Oreochromis niloticus: one gene and its partner. The protein of the gene in region 2 interacts with the protein of the main gene of each other region in a pairwise test. Links are inferred from orthologs where the notes say so. Each region holds a gene or a part of one and is shown on either strand. Other genes may lie near its edges.

The links.
Region 1: the proteins of plaa (region 2) and ubxn1 interact in binary tests that used the Homo sapiens proteins (3 or more experiments, as listed by UniProt). The two-hybrid records come from large-scale screens. The link is inferred for Oreochromis niloticus from reciprocal best matches to the Homo sapiens genes PLAA and UBXN1.

What each region holds. Positions count from the first base shown.
Region 1 is NC_031966.2:21,048,069-21,056,379, reverse strand, and holds the start of ubxn1 (UBX domain-containing protein 1), read left to right. Parts: upstream 1-3,547; 5' UTR 3,548-3,682; intron 3,683-3,688; exon of another isoform or gene 3,689-3,856; intron 3,857-4,349; 5' UTR 4,350-4,355; coding exon 4,356-4,414; intron 4,415-4,538; coding exon 4,539-4,592; intron 4,593-5,402; coding exon 5,403-5,542; intron 5,543-6,146; coding exon 6,147-6,237; intron 6,238-6,331; coding exon 6,332-6,523; intron 6,524-7,610; coding exon 7,611-7,662; intron 7,663-7,765; coding exon 7,766-7,888; intron 7,889-8,245; coding exon 8,246-8,311.
Region 2 is NC_031967.2:11,156,960-11,165,270, reverse strand, and holds the start of plaa (phospholipase A-2-activating protein), read right to left. Parts: upstream 4,417-8,311; 5' UTR 4,319-4,416; coding exon 4,170-4,318; intron 3,774-4,169; coding exon 3,580-3,773; intron 3,473-3,579; coding exon 3,372-3,472; intron 3,250-3,371; coding exon 3,129-3,249; intron 2,856-3,128; coding exon 2,677-2,855; intron 2,517-2,676; coding exon 2,380-2,516; intron 2,177-2,379; coding exon 2,007-2,176; intron 1,923-2,006; coding exon 1,771-1,922; intron 1,688-1,770; coding exon 1,468-1,687; intron 1,346-1,467; coding exon 1,280-1,345; intron 1,186-1,279; coding exon 1,114-1,185; intron 226-1,113; coding exon 121-225; intron 1-120. Other genes in the region: palmitoyltransferase ZDHHC21, read left to right, coding at 6,344-6,497, 6,619-6,717, 6,851-6,962, 7,135-7,273, 7,774-7,890. UniProt on the Homo sapiens protein: Plays a role in protein ubiquitination, sorting and degradation through its association with VCP. Involved in ubiquitin-mediated membrane proteins trafficking to late endosomes in an ESCRT-dependent manner, and hence plays a role in synaptic vesicle recycling.

The DNA of each region.
Region 1 (8,311 bases), on a different chromosome or scaffold from region 2:
CCCAATAATCCATACTAGGAGCATGCAATTAGCCAGAGAGAGAGAGTATGAAGAACTGCCTTTAAACAGGAGGCGACTCTGAGGCTTAGCAATGCTGGGTGAAATCCATATGCTTATAACTGCAGTGTCACCAGACAACCTCTCTATTCTCTAATATTGTTCTACTATGCTAAACATTTTCTTAGTGTCCCGATGCCACTATGAAAGTGTATTATGCTGAATGTGTTACTGTTATGCATGTATTCATTCATTTGTTCATATGTATGAACCAGTGAAGCTTCCAATAACATTCACTATGAATTAATATTCACTATATTGTGTTTATGTGCAGTGTTTGTACTGGAATTAGTGTTACTTATAATTTGAAATGACTACATCAAATTGCAAACAGTGAATTAGTTTTGGTTTGACTTTTCTTATTAATGATTGTGTTCTCAGGCTGAGTTGTGAATATTTTTTTACTCTGTTTTCAGTTTGTTGAGCTGAAAAAGATCTTGTTACAATATCTTCCTGTAAACACTTACAGGGCTTACAGGAAGAACCCCCAAAAGGCCATTTTCTTTGTAAGGGACCTTTGTGTCTATCACCATCACTGACTGGTGTCAGGGAAAGTCCCATATCCTTCTGACTATTTACTAGAAAGGATGCTTTTGTATTCACTTTTACTTTTGGTTTTCATTTCAGAAAGCTACACGAAGTCAAGCCATACAAATCTTAATCTTTGTGTTTTATGCATGAAAAAGTCTTATAAAGAAGCAGAAACTTCAACTGATTTCACAAGAATTGTTTAATTTATTGCAGCCTTCACATAAATCACCACGAAAACTAAACTAAACAGAGAAACAAGAAACCGAAAGTGTTGCCGTTCATGAGCTACAGAGAGTCCCAGCAGTGTTTGCATGACAAGAGGTGTCCCTCCACAGATAACAGCAGCTCCACTGGAAGCCACAGTTTTTCCATATGGAGATGCTGTTACAGCTGGTGAGACCCAGAGAAAAACACAGCTGAGAGCACCAAGCCAGACCACAGCATTGGATGTACACTTATTCTGTTGGCATCTTCTATTTCAGTGTTTTCCCTGTCGTATATTCAGTTGACAAAACTGAATATAACCAAAACTTACCTTAAACAACTCCTCTGGGCTTTCCTATTTTTGTGGAACTACCACTACAGTCTGTATTGTTTGCATAAGGGAGGTGGGGGTGGCAGCATCGTGGTCCACTTTTAAATCATATGAATTAATGCTGCCCTCTTTTGGTCATCTGTTTCTGACTACATGAACTTAAATCATTTTTATTACACATGATACTTCAACTCTCATGTCACAATACCACCCACACCCAATAAAGACTTAGTATCATCCACTATTTTATCTCTAATCTTGGCTTTTACTGCCTCTAAGATTACATGTGTCCCTTCTGATGCCAATAAAAATCAGGCTCATTCCCTCCAAGAACACGTGCTCCTAGAAATTAACAGTGGTTGCAGTAACCCTAGTAAAACAAAAGATCTATTGTCCTATTTCTTTTTATATTAGGTGTTGAAATGATCTTTAACACAAGTGGTAAACAGGAGCGAGCATCATTTTCTTGTGTCTAGCTCATCTTCTTCCCAGAATCTCACTGAATATCCTCGCTGAACTTTGACCTTTAATCCTCTCCTTCTGTAAAAAAGAAAAAAAAACACAGAGAACCATAAAGCAATATAAGGGCAGACTGTAGAGAACTTCACCCTATTGTCTCCTTCGACTTTGGCCGCCCTGCTATATATTGTTAACAGATAATTCCATTATGAAGGGTCATTAGCGTCTTCAGATAATGTGCACCAAGAGGCCGAGCACGGAAACTAGAACGAACTTGGTCTGGACAGAGAAAGGTGATGTCAGGAAATCAAATAGCACATATTAAACCAACAGAGTTAGAACCTGCAGAAACTGAAATGTATTCATACTATAATCATTTTTATCTGAACAGGTACAATATCGTCTTTGTTACCGAAATGACACCAAACATCTTTGTAAATTACACACATGTTCACACAGAACTTGTTTGCTTTTGAAGGCACTTGAATTCATTATAAATGAATCATCTAATTTCCTTAAAAAATCCTCTGTGATCAACTGTTCTCATTTTAACATAGATACAAATACATATTACAGGATTTGTCCTACAGTGTGCAAGTAGATTAGATGCATGGTGAAATAAACTGGTCTTGTTAATCTCCTGAGTTAGTTTGCTTTCTAGAACGCAAAAGAAAAGTTAATACTTACCCAGTAAAAGCTGCAGGCAAAGCTTCTTCAGTTATTAATTGTGAAAGGAAAACACAAGACAAGTGAAACCCAGATTTAAAAAAGAACAAAATATAAGTGTGAGGGGCAAAAAAAGACAAACGAATAAATAGTAAATAAGAGCGTTTAAAAAACAAGACACCCAGCAGTGAGCGGAGTCTCTGAGTAATGGTAGGCTCGTGAATGAGGGCTGCTTAAGACTACGTGGGGGAGAGAAAAATTAATCATTACACTTACTGTAAATATGTAACAAACCCAACCTGCACATAAAAGTCAGCAAATTGCATTGTGTTTGAACACCCACGGAGACACGCAGATGAGATGAAATCATACATGCAGCAGAGCAACCAATAAGATCATCTGACCTTCCCATCAGGCCTCCCCCACCCCTAATCACCAGTGGACATAATTCCTCTGCTGACACATTTCACTGAAAGTACATATCCCTCTCTCTCTCTCTCTCACTCACTCTTACTGGGGCGCAATTTATTAAAATCACCTGATTAAATATCTAAATGGAAAGAACATTATGAGATTATTTTAAAGAAACGATTGATGAATAATCAAAATCTGGGCCAACTCCATCAAGTTGTACTGTTTATTCTGGTCTTGGATATATATAAAATCCAAATCTGGACTGGACTTTTGAAGTGACTGCAAGATGATATATGATTTTTTTTTTCAAATGATTTGTAAATTATAGACAATAATAAGAACTTATGTATCCCCCAAAACACAAACCGTTTAAAAATGACCCAGATTTGAAGGATTTTCTATTAACAGTGTTTCTTTACGCTATTGTTTTGAAGATGACCTTTGAAGACAAAGAGTGTTTGCCTGAAACAAATTTGTAAAGTGCATTTGGCTCAAGCTCAAAGTGAGTGATTCCTGCAAACAGTTCATTCCTGCATGTATCTTTGGTCAAAGTGTGAGAACAATAATTGTAAATGAGTTACAAAGGGAGAGCCTCTTTTTCTTCCTCCAAGCCAGTTAGATGCATTTATAAATAGCACATCTAAACCAGTAACACACTCAATGTGTTTCTGATCTCACTGACTTTGACGGGAATTCCGGTTTAACACCCTATTTCACACCAAATTATATTCATTTTAAACCATAAATAGAGGTAGTGAAATAATGATTTAATATTCACTTAATCTTTATTTCAGAGGTAAACACCTTGCATTGTGTATCATTTGACATGGTTTTAGTATCCCGGTATTGATATGCTGCCGTAGCGGTGATGAATAGATGGGGTCAGGTGAACCCTGCAGTAGCTTACGTGTTACTGTTCATTATTTGCATGTTAGGGAGGCTTATTCATACATTTGAAGTATAACTCAGTAGAAGCTCAAGGTGTATACACGTGAAGATAGCGTCGTCAAAGTGTCGCCAGTAAGTGGAGGATCTGTATGTTGTTTGTCTTTTAAACATATTTTAAGACTACAAAAACCGTTCTTCCTAATAAGCGTGAATTTCGCGTTGTTCTGTTTGACCCGTGTGGGCTTCCTTACTGGTGAAGCGGTGCTGTCCGATGTGTGAGTAGCTAACTATCCCTACCTTCACTGGGTATATTAGCTCATATTTCCTCCTTGCATAAATAAACTGGCACGTCAGTTTGCATTTAGCTCAAGTATACAAACTAACATTAACGGCACAAGTGATGAAGAGCTTATTGGAGTTCCTGATTGTTTCTAATCGTGCTAGCCAGCGAGGCTTCCCAGTTAGCTTTCGCAATTTGAACGTTAGCCACATTAAAGCTAATTTTAGCTCTCAACACGATGGTATTTATTATATCAAATAACTGCATATGTGTAGCGGGAATAAATTTGTGTTTTGGTAAGCTGCTAGTAAAGGAATCGTTTATTTATATTCACGTAGTGTTATATTCGGACAATAGTGGTCAGTGTAGCTGCTTTAGTCAGCTAAAATAAAGTCATAAGCTCTTGCACTAACTTTAGTTTGGTTAGAAGTCCTTTGAGTTCTTTTCATCATCAGATGACAGCATTTTACTGGTAAGTTAGACGATGAACTCCTCGTTAACGTTCCTGTATTGTTTCAGGTCAAAATGGCAGAGCTAACAACACTCGAGAGTCTGCTGGAGATGGGGTTTGATCGAAACAGAGCGTGAGTGATCCCTGATGCACACATTTATATTGGTTTATTTGGATTCCAGGTTTGAAGCTGATTTCAAGGAAATGAAACTGAAACTGTCTACATTATCTATCATATTATCATAATCTGTCTTTAGAGAGAAGGCAGTGGCCAACACAGGGAACCAGGGAATTGAGCAAGCCATGGATTGGTGAGTTTAGCACTCAGAATAACAACACACTACTTTGAAACCTCACACATTAACATTTTGTCATCACTTACCCCTGTGCCACAGTCCAGCTCCACATGCCAATTTCCCTCATAAAACTATCCAGTGGTTTTCATTTCCCAATGTAAATATGATTGTGGTGATTGGAGAAAGTGACTGTTGTTTTTTCAATTTAGGAAATATTGATTAACTCTGTAGTGTTGTCTCAAAAAGTGAATTAGAAATGCTTGTGTGTGCCTTCATCTCCTCTCACTTGGAAATCGCTGTTTTCTTGTCGGACTGAAACATTTATTATTCGCATCTAATCTGTGCAAGATTATACTGTGAGGCTTTTAACTCATTATAAACTTTCTCATATCACCCAATTTTTAAAGCTGTCACACTGGTTTCCTGTCAGGATTAGTTTACAGTTAAAAATCGTGGTTCTCACTTTTATGGCTTTATGAGGTGCAGCCACCTCCAAGATTGTCCCCCTGCTACTACTCCACCCCTATTCTTCAAACCAAGTTCTTAGACCGGTTTGTGGTTCCTCACACCCGCCTGAAAACTAACATTCCAAAACTTTGGAATAGCTTGTCACACACTCTTTGCACCCTTGACTTTGTGGTATTATTTAAAAGGCAGTTTAAAACTAATCTTTTCAGACATTTTAGTGGTTTGTGTTTTTTTACTTTGTTTGTGTGTGTCCATTTTGACTTGAAATAGGGTGTTTAAAAAAAAATGTTATCTAGACCTCTGTAAAGCTCTTTGTGACTGTTGGAAAGTAATGCATTTTGTACGTACTCTCCTCAGGCTAATGGAACACGAAAATGACCCAGACATTGATGAGCCCTATGTGCCGCCAGTGGGGAACGTCCTGGGAGGAGAAGCACAGAGCCAGCCTAGCACAGCAGACAGCTCTGAAGGTCAGGAGGGGCAGGAAAGTTTTGAAGGTATGTCATTAAAGGGGCAGGAAAGAAAAGTCACCCACAGATTTTCAGTGTGATTGAATATACCACTAGACAACCTAAATGTATCTACTCTAAAGGACTTTACACACTGGATGTGTAAAATCCATGTGAATATTTCATGTGTTAAAAAATATTTTTTGACTTGATTTGGGTCCAGATAAATAGATCTGACCAATCAGACCGCCACATTTGCAGTAAGTGTGCTCATACTGAATGTGTGCACCTGTGCTGTATATCCAAAAGGAAATGGTAAAATTACACTATTTTACCTTTGATAGCTAGACCAGTCAATCGTATACACATATATGTGTACATATATTTATGTATGTGTGTGCATACAGCCAAATTCGGCTACAGAATATGCACACACAGTAAACATATCTTATCTAGCTCTTTATCTCAAAAATGTTGTTTCAAGTGGTTGAGTCACTTCCTTGGTGTTTCGTTGTGGTTCATTGGCACTGCTGTGGTGTTTTAAGGTTTGTGGTATTTGATTTTAGATGGGCCTCTGGTTTTGCTTTGGTTAGTGGTCGGAAGTAAGCTGTCAAAGTTTTCACGTTGTCTTGCCCGTTTGTTTCGGCTTCAGGAATAGCAGGTGGAGACATCGGCTACATTGAGACCGAGGACGGCGTCAAACGGCCAATGACAGAAGAGGAGAAAAATGAGCAAGTCAAGAGGTCAGAGGATACTCAAAGTGCATTTTGCTGATTGGCAGTGTGCATATTGAATATAGAAGCACGTGCGTAATTTAAGCCTGTGTCTGTTTTTCAGGCTCGAGGAGCTGATGCGGGTGAAGCAGGCGGAGAGAAGAGAGCGAGAGCGGGCAGAAGAGGTGGAGAGGGAGAAGCAGCGAAGGAAGCAGGGCCAGGAGCTGCAGCAGATCCGCCAAAAACTGCAGGATGATGAAATGAAAAAAATCGCTGAGCAGCGTCAGAGGGAGAAGATGGAAGACAAACTGGCAAGGTATGTTTTTCAACAACACACATACAGTTAGAGAACATGTGATAATTAGGTTTGGATAAGGATTGCTTACCGGAGTACATAGAGTCTAATAACCATTCAGTCAAAAAGACACTTCTTTGGCTTCCCTATTGGATGTCCAACATGTTTATTCTCATAAAAACAAACTGTCAGTCTTACAGGCCCAAGACTAGCAAATCACACCATCTCATATACAGCTTGGCTAAAAGGCATCCTGTTAGTTTTTAAATAGGATAATGTTACTCTGCTCGATAATTGTCTCCCAGCATAGTCTCATGACAGATGGATGGGCTGTAGAAGAGCATCAGCACAGCAACAGGACTGGTGTCTGGAATCTGGTGTCTGCTTGTGTGAGGAGGAGCACTGCCAGACCCTACAGAATCAACTTTAAACAGCTATTCTTGTGCATGTTTCTGACCAGGCTGTCGGAAACAGACAACGCAAGGGTGACATGAGGGTCGCGGTGATGTTACAGGGATCATAATGTTTGCTACAATGTCTCCACACTCTTTCACGCCTGACACATGTTCTCTATTTGAAGCTTCTTTAATCTGTGGAGAGAATTTGGGTGTTCTCTGGTTAAAAGCCATAAAACTGCACAGTGCTGGGCTGTGAGCTGATACCACTAACAGATTTCAAGCCCTTGTTTCACCCTCGGTGAAATCATTTTCTGACAGTCTGGTGAGAAACATCCACAAGTAACTCACTGTGGTCACTTCAGCTGAGCACTGGCAGTGGTCCTCCTCACACAAAAGAGCAGATACCAGTCATGCTGTTGATTTTTGTGATGTTTTCCAATGTATTGCAAGCCTAAAATCTGTGGATTTATTTATAAAAAAGCTACAAACTTTTTATCCTAACCAGTTGTTCTCATGAACCCTTTTTGTTAAACATTCAGTTGTTTTAAAAAAAAAGGTAACAAATAACCCAGGAAATAATTTTATCTCTGCTTTACCTATTGGAAAATGTTCACATTCATAAAGATTAACTTGTGTGTGATCAAGTAACTTTGTTCCTTTGTTAACTCTGGTTGCTGAGTCATTGTGTTGCTTATCTTTATTACAAACAGGCAAAGGGTTAAAGAGAAGATAGCAAGAGACAGAGAAGAAAGAGCGCAAAAGGTACTTTTAAAAGTCAAGTTTATTTTAGGTTTATTTTCCATTTCTTTATTCTACCACTTCTATTGGAAACAAGAACAACTTGAACTTATTTTTTTCTGTGAAGTTTGGAGGTGGTGCACCCTCGAGCACCGCTGCATCATCCCAGAATGCCCAGCCCAGTCCGTCTTCACCCACCAGTCAGGGCCCTCCACCCACTAAAAAGGAGTATGATGAATCCAGGATACAGGTACCTAATTCATCATTGATTTTAAAATTTTACTTTGCATATATGTTAATAAAGTTTGAAGTCTGTGCCCCGTGAAACAGAAAGTCACAGGTTTCGATAAATACATATAAAATATGTGCAGGCCTAACCGGGTGTTTAGAATAAAATGGATGATAAGCAGAGTGTGCTTCAGGGCTTAGGGCTTTATATGAAAATGAATCTGCCCCTCTAAAAACGCAAGTCAAGGGTTCAGAGCAGATCTTCGCAGACTAATTGTTGACATCAGGGCGGTGAGGGCCATCTTTTATAAACGCAAATAAACTGGTGTTGTGTTGAACTTTAAAAATATGTACTTAAATTTTTGCTGCTTCTTCACAGGTCCGTCTGCTGGACGGCTCGACCATCACAACAGTCTTCAAGGCCCAGGAGCCGCTGGCGGCAGTG
Region 2 (8,311 bases):
CACTACGTTACGGACAAGAATAAAATAAAAATTCTTAAAATATATGAAGGCTCCAAATATCACCCACTTTAAAGCACAAGTTATTCAGCGAGAGTTAACAAACCACACTGAAATGCTTACCAATGATCTGAGAGCTGTTGGCTTGCTCAAAGGTCACACCATCAGTCTTGGGAAAGTAGATGTTGGTTGTTTGTCTCAAGGCTGATGAGGAGTATGCACCGCCTCCTGCAAAGCAGGGAGACAGAAAGGAAATATAATATTAAAGAAGAAAAGCGAGCATGTCAGCATTCTCAGAGGTCTGCTCTGTGCTTTCACGCAATGTTTCCTACTGCAGAAAATAAATGCTATGATGGTGTAAATGTTAATAATTAATGCTAATATTAATTCAATGGCCAACCTTTTTATATGAATCTAAATGTACAAAGTAATGTTACTAAAGCCTTGAAATAATGGCACACTCCAGTATCCACTTTAGATTCGCCCCTGCTAGCTGCTGTGACAGAAAGCAGGACGGCTGATGACAGCCTTCAGTAAGCTGCTTAATTTAAACATCACATCAGATTAAGTTAACAGCTAATCTGCTTAAACACTTTTATTTTAACTTCTGTAGCTTTTCACTGTGTAAGACAAACAGTGGTGGATGGGAGCAGCTCCAAAGTTCCCTTTTCTTCACGCTAGAGCTTGTTGAAAAGCTGGTTTCATTCAGGACTTCCACCATCTTTTTCCTAGTAAAGATTTTTACTGTGAATACAACAACAAACACTGCTGTTTTGGAGACTTAAAAGCCTTTTTCTTTCACACCACTTGAGCTCAGTCTCGGTAACAGCTCCACCTCTTTAAGGTGTGTGTAGACAGACCTTGAGCTGCACGTTAAACTATTTATGTGGTGATGACTGAGCTCCACAGTTGTGGATTATATTAGGTACCGAAGCAAGAACTGTGTTCTTCAAATGACTCGATAATTCACTGCAGTCCTGGAGCAATTTAGTTAAAGGCAAAAAAAAAAAAAGAAGAAGAAAAAAGTATGAGACACAGGCCTCATAACTCCATCAAAAGGAACAATTGGGACTTGTATCTCCCAAGTCCCAATTGTTCCTTTTGATACCAAGTTACCTGTGAAGGGATCCGCTACACCAACAGGAGCACCTGGGTTTGGGCCTGACCCTGGGATGTAGCGACCAGCGCCTGTGAAGAAAAAAAAAACAAAAAACACAGCTGTGAAACTGCACTTACAGATAAAAGTTCTGACTATGAACACCTCTGAGTAAACAAACTATACCTGTAAAAGGATCAGCTCCAAGGCCTGCAGTATCACTGGAAGAACCAGGGATATACCGAGCTCCTCCTGTCAAATAAAGAGGTGAAACACATCATACATCCTATCTAAGATTCCTTAATCGTTCCAGTGAAATTGTTCTAAATGTACAGCAAAGAAGCCAGCAGCAGTATCCATCTTTTGGACCTCACCAGTAAAGGGGTCACCACCAGCGGGCTGGGCTGGTCCCACCACGTGCCCTTTGGTGTTCTCAATGATAAAATTGGCAACCTGGTCAAGGAACATCGGGCTGAGGTCATTCTTCTGCAGAAAGTTGTGCGCTGTCAGCCAGGGGTCGTCTGTCACATTGTAAGGCAGCTTCATGGATGGCCCTCCCTCATTCACATCAATGCTGAATACATAATCATACTCCTGCACGCAGATGGGGGGGGGGTCACATTAATGACAGCTCATATGCGACGTCCCGCTTACTGACTCTGAGCTTGTAGCCTCACCTTTCCTTCGTACATGACACTCTTGGAGGTCTGTTGGTTTGAGCCTCCGACCACGTCTCCGATTTTCATCCAGCGGCCATCACTGACGCTCCACTGATATGCCTCCACCTTCTGTCCATCTTTGATCAACCGTGTCTGTCCATCGCGATTCCCTGTTGTAAACAAATCCACCCTGATGCACAGAGAACAGCTTCACCGTTTTATATGACAAAATAAATAGCAGCCTGCTGCATTACCAGGCTCGTTCAGGTGTTCTCTTCCAGGAAGATCCTCCAGTTTGATGTCACCAAGATCCCCGGTCTTGGGGTCGATGGTGGCTTTGGAAAGTTCATCTTCAAAGGCCTGCAGGTCCTCTGCACTAGCCATGCGGTCCTCAGCTTCCGTGAACACGCGGATAATGCCATCGCTGTGGGCAGAGGAGCAGCTTCTGGTTTAGCCACAGAACTACTTACTGCTTCATTCAACATTTGTTTGAATGCAGGAGAGATGCAATGAATGAGGACAGTGAACACTGTCATTAATGGGCTTTTAAATATTTACGGTGTAACATGATCAAGGAAATCACTATGACCTGATTGCATATTAGCATGCCAAAAGCAGCTCTGTTACCTGGCTCCGACTACTATGTCACCATTAGGTAAAATACAGCAGCACCACACAGACTGAGCAGGCAGGCGGATGGTCTGAGAGCACTCTCCTTGCCTCCATATCCTCAGACTCCGGTCCTCCCCTGTGCTTATAAAAATCTAAGAGGAAAAAAAAAATAAGGGTGAGGGCAGGGTGTAGGAAGTAGCTACCATCTCAGAATGTGAAAAGAACTGGAAGCCGGCTGAATAAACCACAGAGCACCACTGACTGCTGGTTTCAAGTCTCTCAGTTCTATCCCTTGTTTTTAAATATTGATACAATCAACAAACCTTGGCTATTGGGGAAGACAGCTAAGCTGTAGATGTAGTTGGTGTGGCTGTAGTAGACCTGTACGCATTCGCCTGTCACCAGCCACTTTCTGATACTTGCGTCATTGCTACACGAGAAGAACTCAGTGTTGCTGATCACTGCCAGGCCTCTCACACAGTCCTCATGACCTATGATGGAAGGGAAATATTTTTTAACCATAACTTAACCCTAAAAATATGCAGTTATCATTTTAAAATTTTACTTTGACAAAGTTATGGTTTTGTCCAATATCCTACAATACTGTTGGTTTATATTATTAACCACATAATCAAAGACAGACAACCAATCATATTAATCATCAGCCAGTCTACTTTTTGTATACACACAGATCTGTTTAAAATGCAAGGCCCAACCCCCCCCCCAAAAAAACCCAAGTCCAATATACACCTGCATATCCTCACCTGTAAACGTCTTCTCACATCGTCCTGCTTTCCAAAGCTTTATGGTCTTATCTGCTGATCCCGACAGCATAAGGCCTTGTTCAGGTAAAATAGCCACTGCCCACACTGCTGCAGTGTGGCCCTGTAACAAAATTAACAAGCTCAAAACATGTTCTGTCAATTTTTTTCAAACTCAATTTTTTCAAATCAATTGAGACACTAATCACCATCCAAGCAAGCTGAAAAGTGTAGAGGACCGCATACCTGCAAGGTCATCATGCACTTCTCATTGAGCCAGACCTTGGCTGTAGTGTCCCAGGAACCACTCAAAAGTGTCCCAAACTTCCCAGACGACAGAGTGCAAACTGTGGAGGTTTAAAGTTAGAAAGCCAGGAACCAGAAACACTGTGACGAGTAACAGGTCAAGCAGTTAATCCTCACTACTAAAAACAGCGAGGAGAGCACAACTCACCTGTATTTTTGTGACCCTTGAGAGTGAAGATGGGCTGCGGTCGGTCCAGTGAGAAAACACAAATATTATTATCGTTCCCGCCTGTAGCAACAAGTCCCCGAGGGTATGTTTCACTGGGTGCGATGATGCATACACAGGATACAAAATTTGAGTGTCCAGACATACAGTGCATTTCTGTGAAGCCTTTGTCTGAGCTGTCAGAAGGAGAAAAGGACGAAAGTTAACAATTATTACTGAGGGAAGAAGTTAGGTTCTTTTGGCTCTTATTTGTAAGATGGCTAGGCAAATTAACTGACAAAAATAAACACTCCGAATCTGTTTCAGTTTCGTGTTTCGTAAAAGAACAGTTGCAGCTGAATGAATGACAAAGCTAATTTGAGCAAACGTTAGCACTGTGCTTTTTGGCTAACTTAGCTACTAGCCATTTTTACAAATATGAAATCAGAAATAGTAAAATATTCAGTAAGGCGTGATTTGCCTTGACACTTTTCGTGTCCGGACAAGTCACTCTCTTTGCGCAGAGTGACTTGTACCCTGAAATTAATCGTAGCCAGGCAGCAGTTTCTGAGCAGCAAGCTAGCGCTAGCTACCTGGAGTTTGGTACCCAGACTCTTCCGGTTCGGTCTCTGGACACCGACACGAATGCTCCCTCTGGAAAAACAGTAGCGGCGAGTCCCCTGACGTCCATCTCGTGGCCCGGGATTGAACACCTGAGTTTGTACGAATTGGATGATGCCATTTTTGCTTCAACAGCACAATGAAACTACTGTGGCACTGTTACGCTATGCGGCGTCGCTGTCAACAAACACCAGCCGCTATTGCTAGCGGAAGTTGAATTACGTCATTATTAGGATTGACGCACCTTTCAAACTAATGTTTAATTAATTATGTTGAATATTAATTGTCTTACGTTTATAACATTAACATTAGAATAGTGTTTTTCCAACTGTATTTTAGGTTTGTATTTTTGAATATATTTTATCAAAATGTATTGATCACAGTTGACCACAGGGCGGCAGCAGAGCGAGGCCGCCACCAACCTGCTACAACAGCAATATCAAGCTGCCGACTTTGCGGAGTGAGCAGGAAACTAGAAATATCGACGTAAAAAAAACAGCTCAAACGTAAAAAGTGCCGTTGTTTTAAAAAATCATATTAACGTTATCTGTCACGTCAAACGAGAGTTTAATGTTAATACCAAGCTTTTATGTAGACTTAGGACATCTTAATAAACACGTAAGTCTCGCCAGCAAATGACGTGATTTTTTTTTAATCAAATCATTGCTTTTATGAATAATTTAACATTTTCGGTATCTTGGTTTGTTTTTAGTTTTCCATGATTTCGTTTTACGTAATATGAAACAGAATACCTTTATTAAAAATTTCAATGCTTCCCATTAAATCCCCGTTTATACTTAAAGGAAAAAATGCAAATAATGCTTGTTCCGGTTTTATTTTTTAGACTGGAAATGTGACCGGAAGTGTGACTTTTTTTTCCATTGCAGGTAGCAAAACAGGTCCCACAGAGGCGATGAGGAAGTAGTCTCACTGATTCGTTCGCCGAATAGGACGAAAAAGTAAGTGTCTTTTCATTTTGGCTCACGAGAAGTATATTTGACAATAAACGCGTTGGTTCATATCTACGCGAGTGAAGCACAGCAGCGTTGGCCCGTAGATGTTAGCTAACACAGTCAGGCTTATAGAACCCAGCCCATCACGATTGTGAGTGTTTTCAGCACTATGAATGATGGAGCAGGCGAGGCTTTACAAATAACGAGGCTCTGGTAGTGGTTACGTGGTTATGAGGGCTGTTCGTACTGTGTTCTAGCAGTGTTACTGTATTCGATAATGCTGATAATAAGATTCAGTGTAAGGTTAGAATAGAATAGAATAGAATAGAATTCAACTTTATTGTCATTGCACATGTCACAGGTACAGGGCAACGAAATGCAGTTTGCATCCATCCAGAAAGTGCTTTTAGCCGTGATATAGATATAATACAATATATATTAGCAATAATATAGATGTGTAAGTATATTACAGAAATGGGTCTATTATGGTATGTTATAATGTACACGGTGTGAAGTATGTTATGAATATTCTATAACTATAAGTATGTACAGGCTGTAGTGAGTAAAAGCTATGTACAGGCTATGAACAGGATATAAATATGAAATAAAAACTATACAGAAATCTGAGATATACAGTTATACAGAAATGTGAACTATGCAAGTTATAAACAGTTGTAGGATTGAAAAATTATCATATGTACAGAATGATATTCACACAGAACTATACAGTAGTGCAGTTAGGATAATTGTGATAGTGATAAAGTGCTAGTGGTTGTGGGTGTGTGTATGTTCAGTCCATGAGTTTAACGTGGGTCAGATGTCAGGAGGCAGAGTTCAGGAGTCTGACAGCTGGGGGGTAGATTGCTCAGGCTATCAGGTGCCTGGTTGATAAACATCTGCTTTGCATTACACAGAGGTTAGGCCTTTGTTTAAGACACATTCCACACAGTATCTGATATGTCCTTGTACGTACAAATCTTATAAAGGTATCCTTAATCCTGCTGTTGTTTAGTTATAGATCTATTATAATGTGCAGGGCAAAATGCAGGTCTCAGTGATGGGTATTTTGCCTGAAACACATCATTTCAAGTAGCTGTAAACTAAAGAACTACACACCATGTTTGTCAGTGTCTTAAATTTGTGTGTGCCTGCGTGCTTGGTACACTGTAGGTTTCCCAGAATTCCCAGCAACCATGAAGCTTCGACTGCACTTCGTGGTGGATCCTATGGGCTGGCTGTGCATCAGTATGGTATTTGGGATCTGGCTCTACAACACTTTTTTTGTTCCCAAACTGGTTCTGTTTCCACACTACAATGAGGGACACATTCCTTGGGCCATTGTTGTTTGTGAGTTTCCTTACCTTTTGTGTTGACACGTGAAAAACTGAAAATGAGTTTCTTTGGAAACTGGAAAAGAATGTGCCCAATCACACCCCATCAGTGGAATTAAAACACTGTATTTCTTTAGGTTACTACATAGCTTCAGGACTCTGCCTAGCAGCGCTGTTCAGAGCTTCCACGGCAGATCCAGGCCGTCTTCCTGTGGACCCACACATACCTCATGCTGGTAAATGCTTTTCTCACTGCTTACCACTTGTTTGTATATGTCCAGTTTGTCTGTTACTCCGGTACCGACTAGCAGTATCAACTCTCTTCGGATTGATGATTGTTACATAGTGTTTGTTGTCTTTGTGTTTCAGAGAGAGAGCACTGGGAGTTGTGCAATAAGTGCAACTTAATGAGACCTAAAAGGTCGCACCACTGCAGTCGCTGTGGCCACTGTGTGCGCAGGATGGACCACCACTGTCCCTGGTAATCATACACGAACACCTACCCTCATGCTTCCATCCATTCTTGTTTATTCAATTACTGAGATTTGAAAGCTTATTTAATGACTGAACATATCATAGCATGCCATGTGTGTCCACTGCTGTGATAAACAAATATGTGATCACTTGCTAAATGCACTTTATTTCCGTTGCAGGATTAATAACTGTGTGGGAGAGGACAACCACTGGCTCTTCCTGCAGCTGTGTTTCTATGCTCAGGTCCTCAGCTTATTCACGCTGGTGCTGGACTTCTGTCAGTACTATTACTTCCAGCCCCTGACAGGACTAGACCAGGTAGGTCCATGGGATTGTTTTTAAAAGTTGGCCTCTACTCATGTCCAGCTTCATAATTTTATTCTCTGCTGTGTAACTTTAAACATATCATTATTTACCTTTTACTGGGCCTCAGTGAAGCCTCTCAGTTCATCCACAGTTTGAATAAAGACTTTTCTTATGATTGGCTGCCCCTTCATATCCAGCATGTTTAAACAGTAGGTGGGTGGGGCTGCTCCATTCACATAGCTGTGCACCTGAGATGACCATATTAGGGATATCTGCCCACACCTACATCACAGAGAGCCAAGAGTATAAAAAATGCCTTTTTCCTACAGCGATTGATGTTCATACTCTGACCTCATTATTTGAAACTTTGGCCATGTTTATTATGAGATTCAGCTACACTAATGGAAAACTATAAACATTCATATTTGACAGTGGGAAAATCAGCAAATGGAACTTTAAGATGATAAGATAAGAGGTTTTCACAACAAAGGGCACTGTTCTCTTTCACTCAGGAAAAGTTCACTACACGTCACGAACTGGCTCTGCTGCGAATCTCTGCGCTAATGGGCGTGGTCATGTTTGGAGGCATGACTTCCTTGTTTTACACACAGATGACTGGCATCCTCTCGGTGAGTACTGAGTAAAGACTTATTTTCTCGTTTCAGCTGACAGTTTAAGCTCTCCACCCATTTCCTGCTGCCATCGTCTTGATGCGATTATGTCTTTACTTAATTAAATGCAGCTAATATTTCCAAGCTAAGTGTTGAATATCAGTTTGTAGGATCAGTAAATGCGTCATTCACAGCGTTATTCAGCTTGTATGTCCTCTTCAAAGCAAGTTGAAGGCAAACAAGAAGAAAAATGATGTAGCAGCTTCAGACAAAACAACATGACATGGTGTACAGAAATAAAACGATCAATGCCAGTAATGCAGCGATCGATAAGAAAGAAACGGGGGAGAAAGTGTGCACACGAATGCGTTCATATTACTATAAACCACAACAGCAGCATGGTCATCTGCCATACCTCTGCTGACATGAATAAATCATT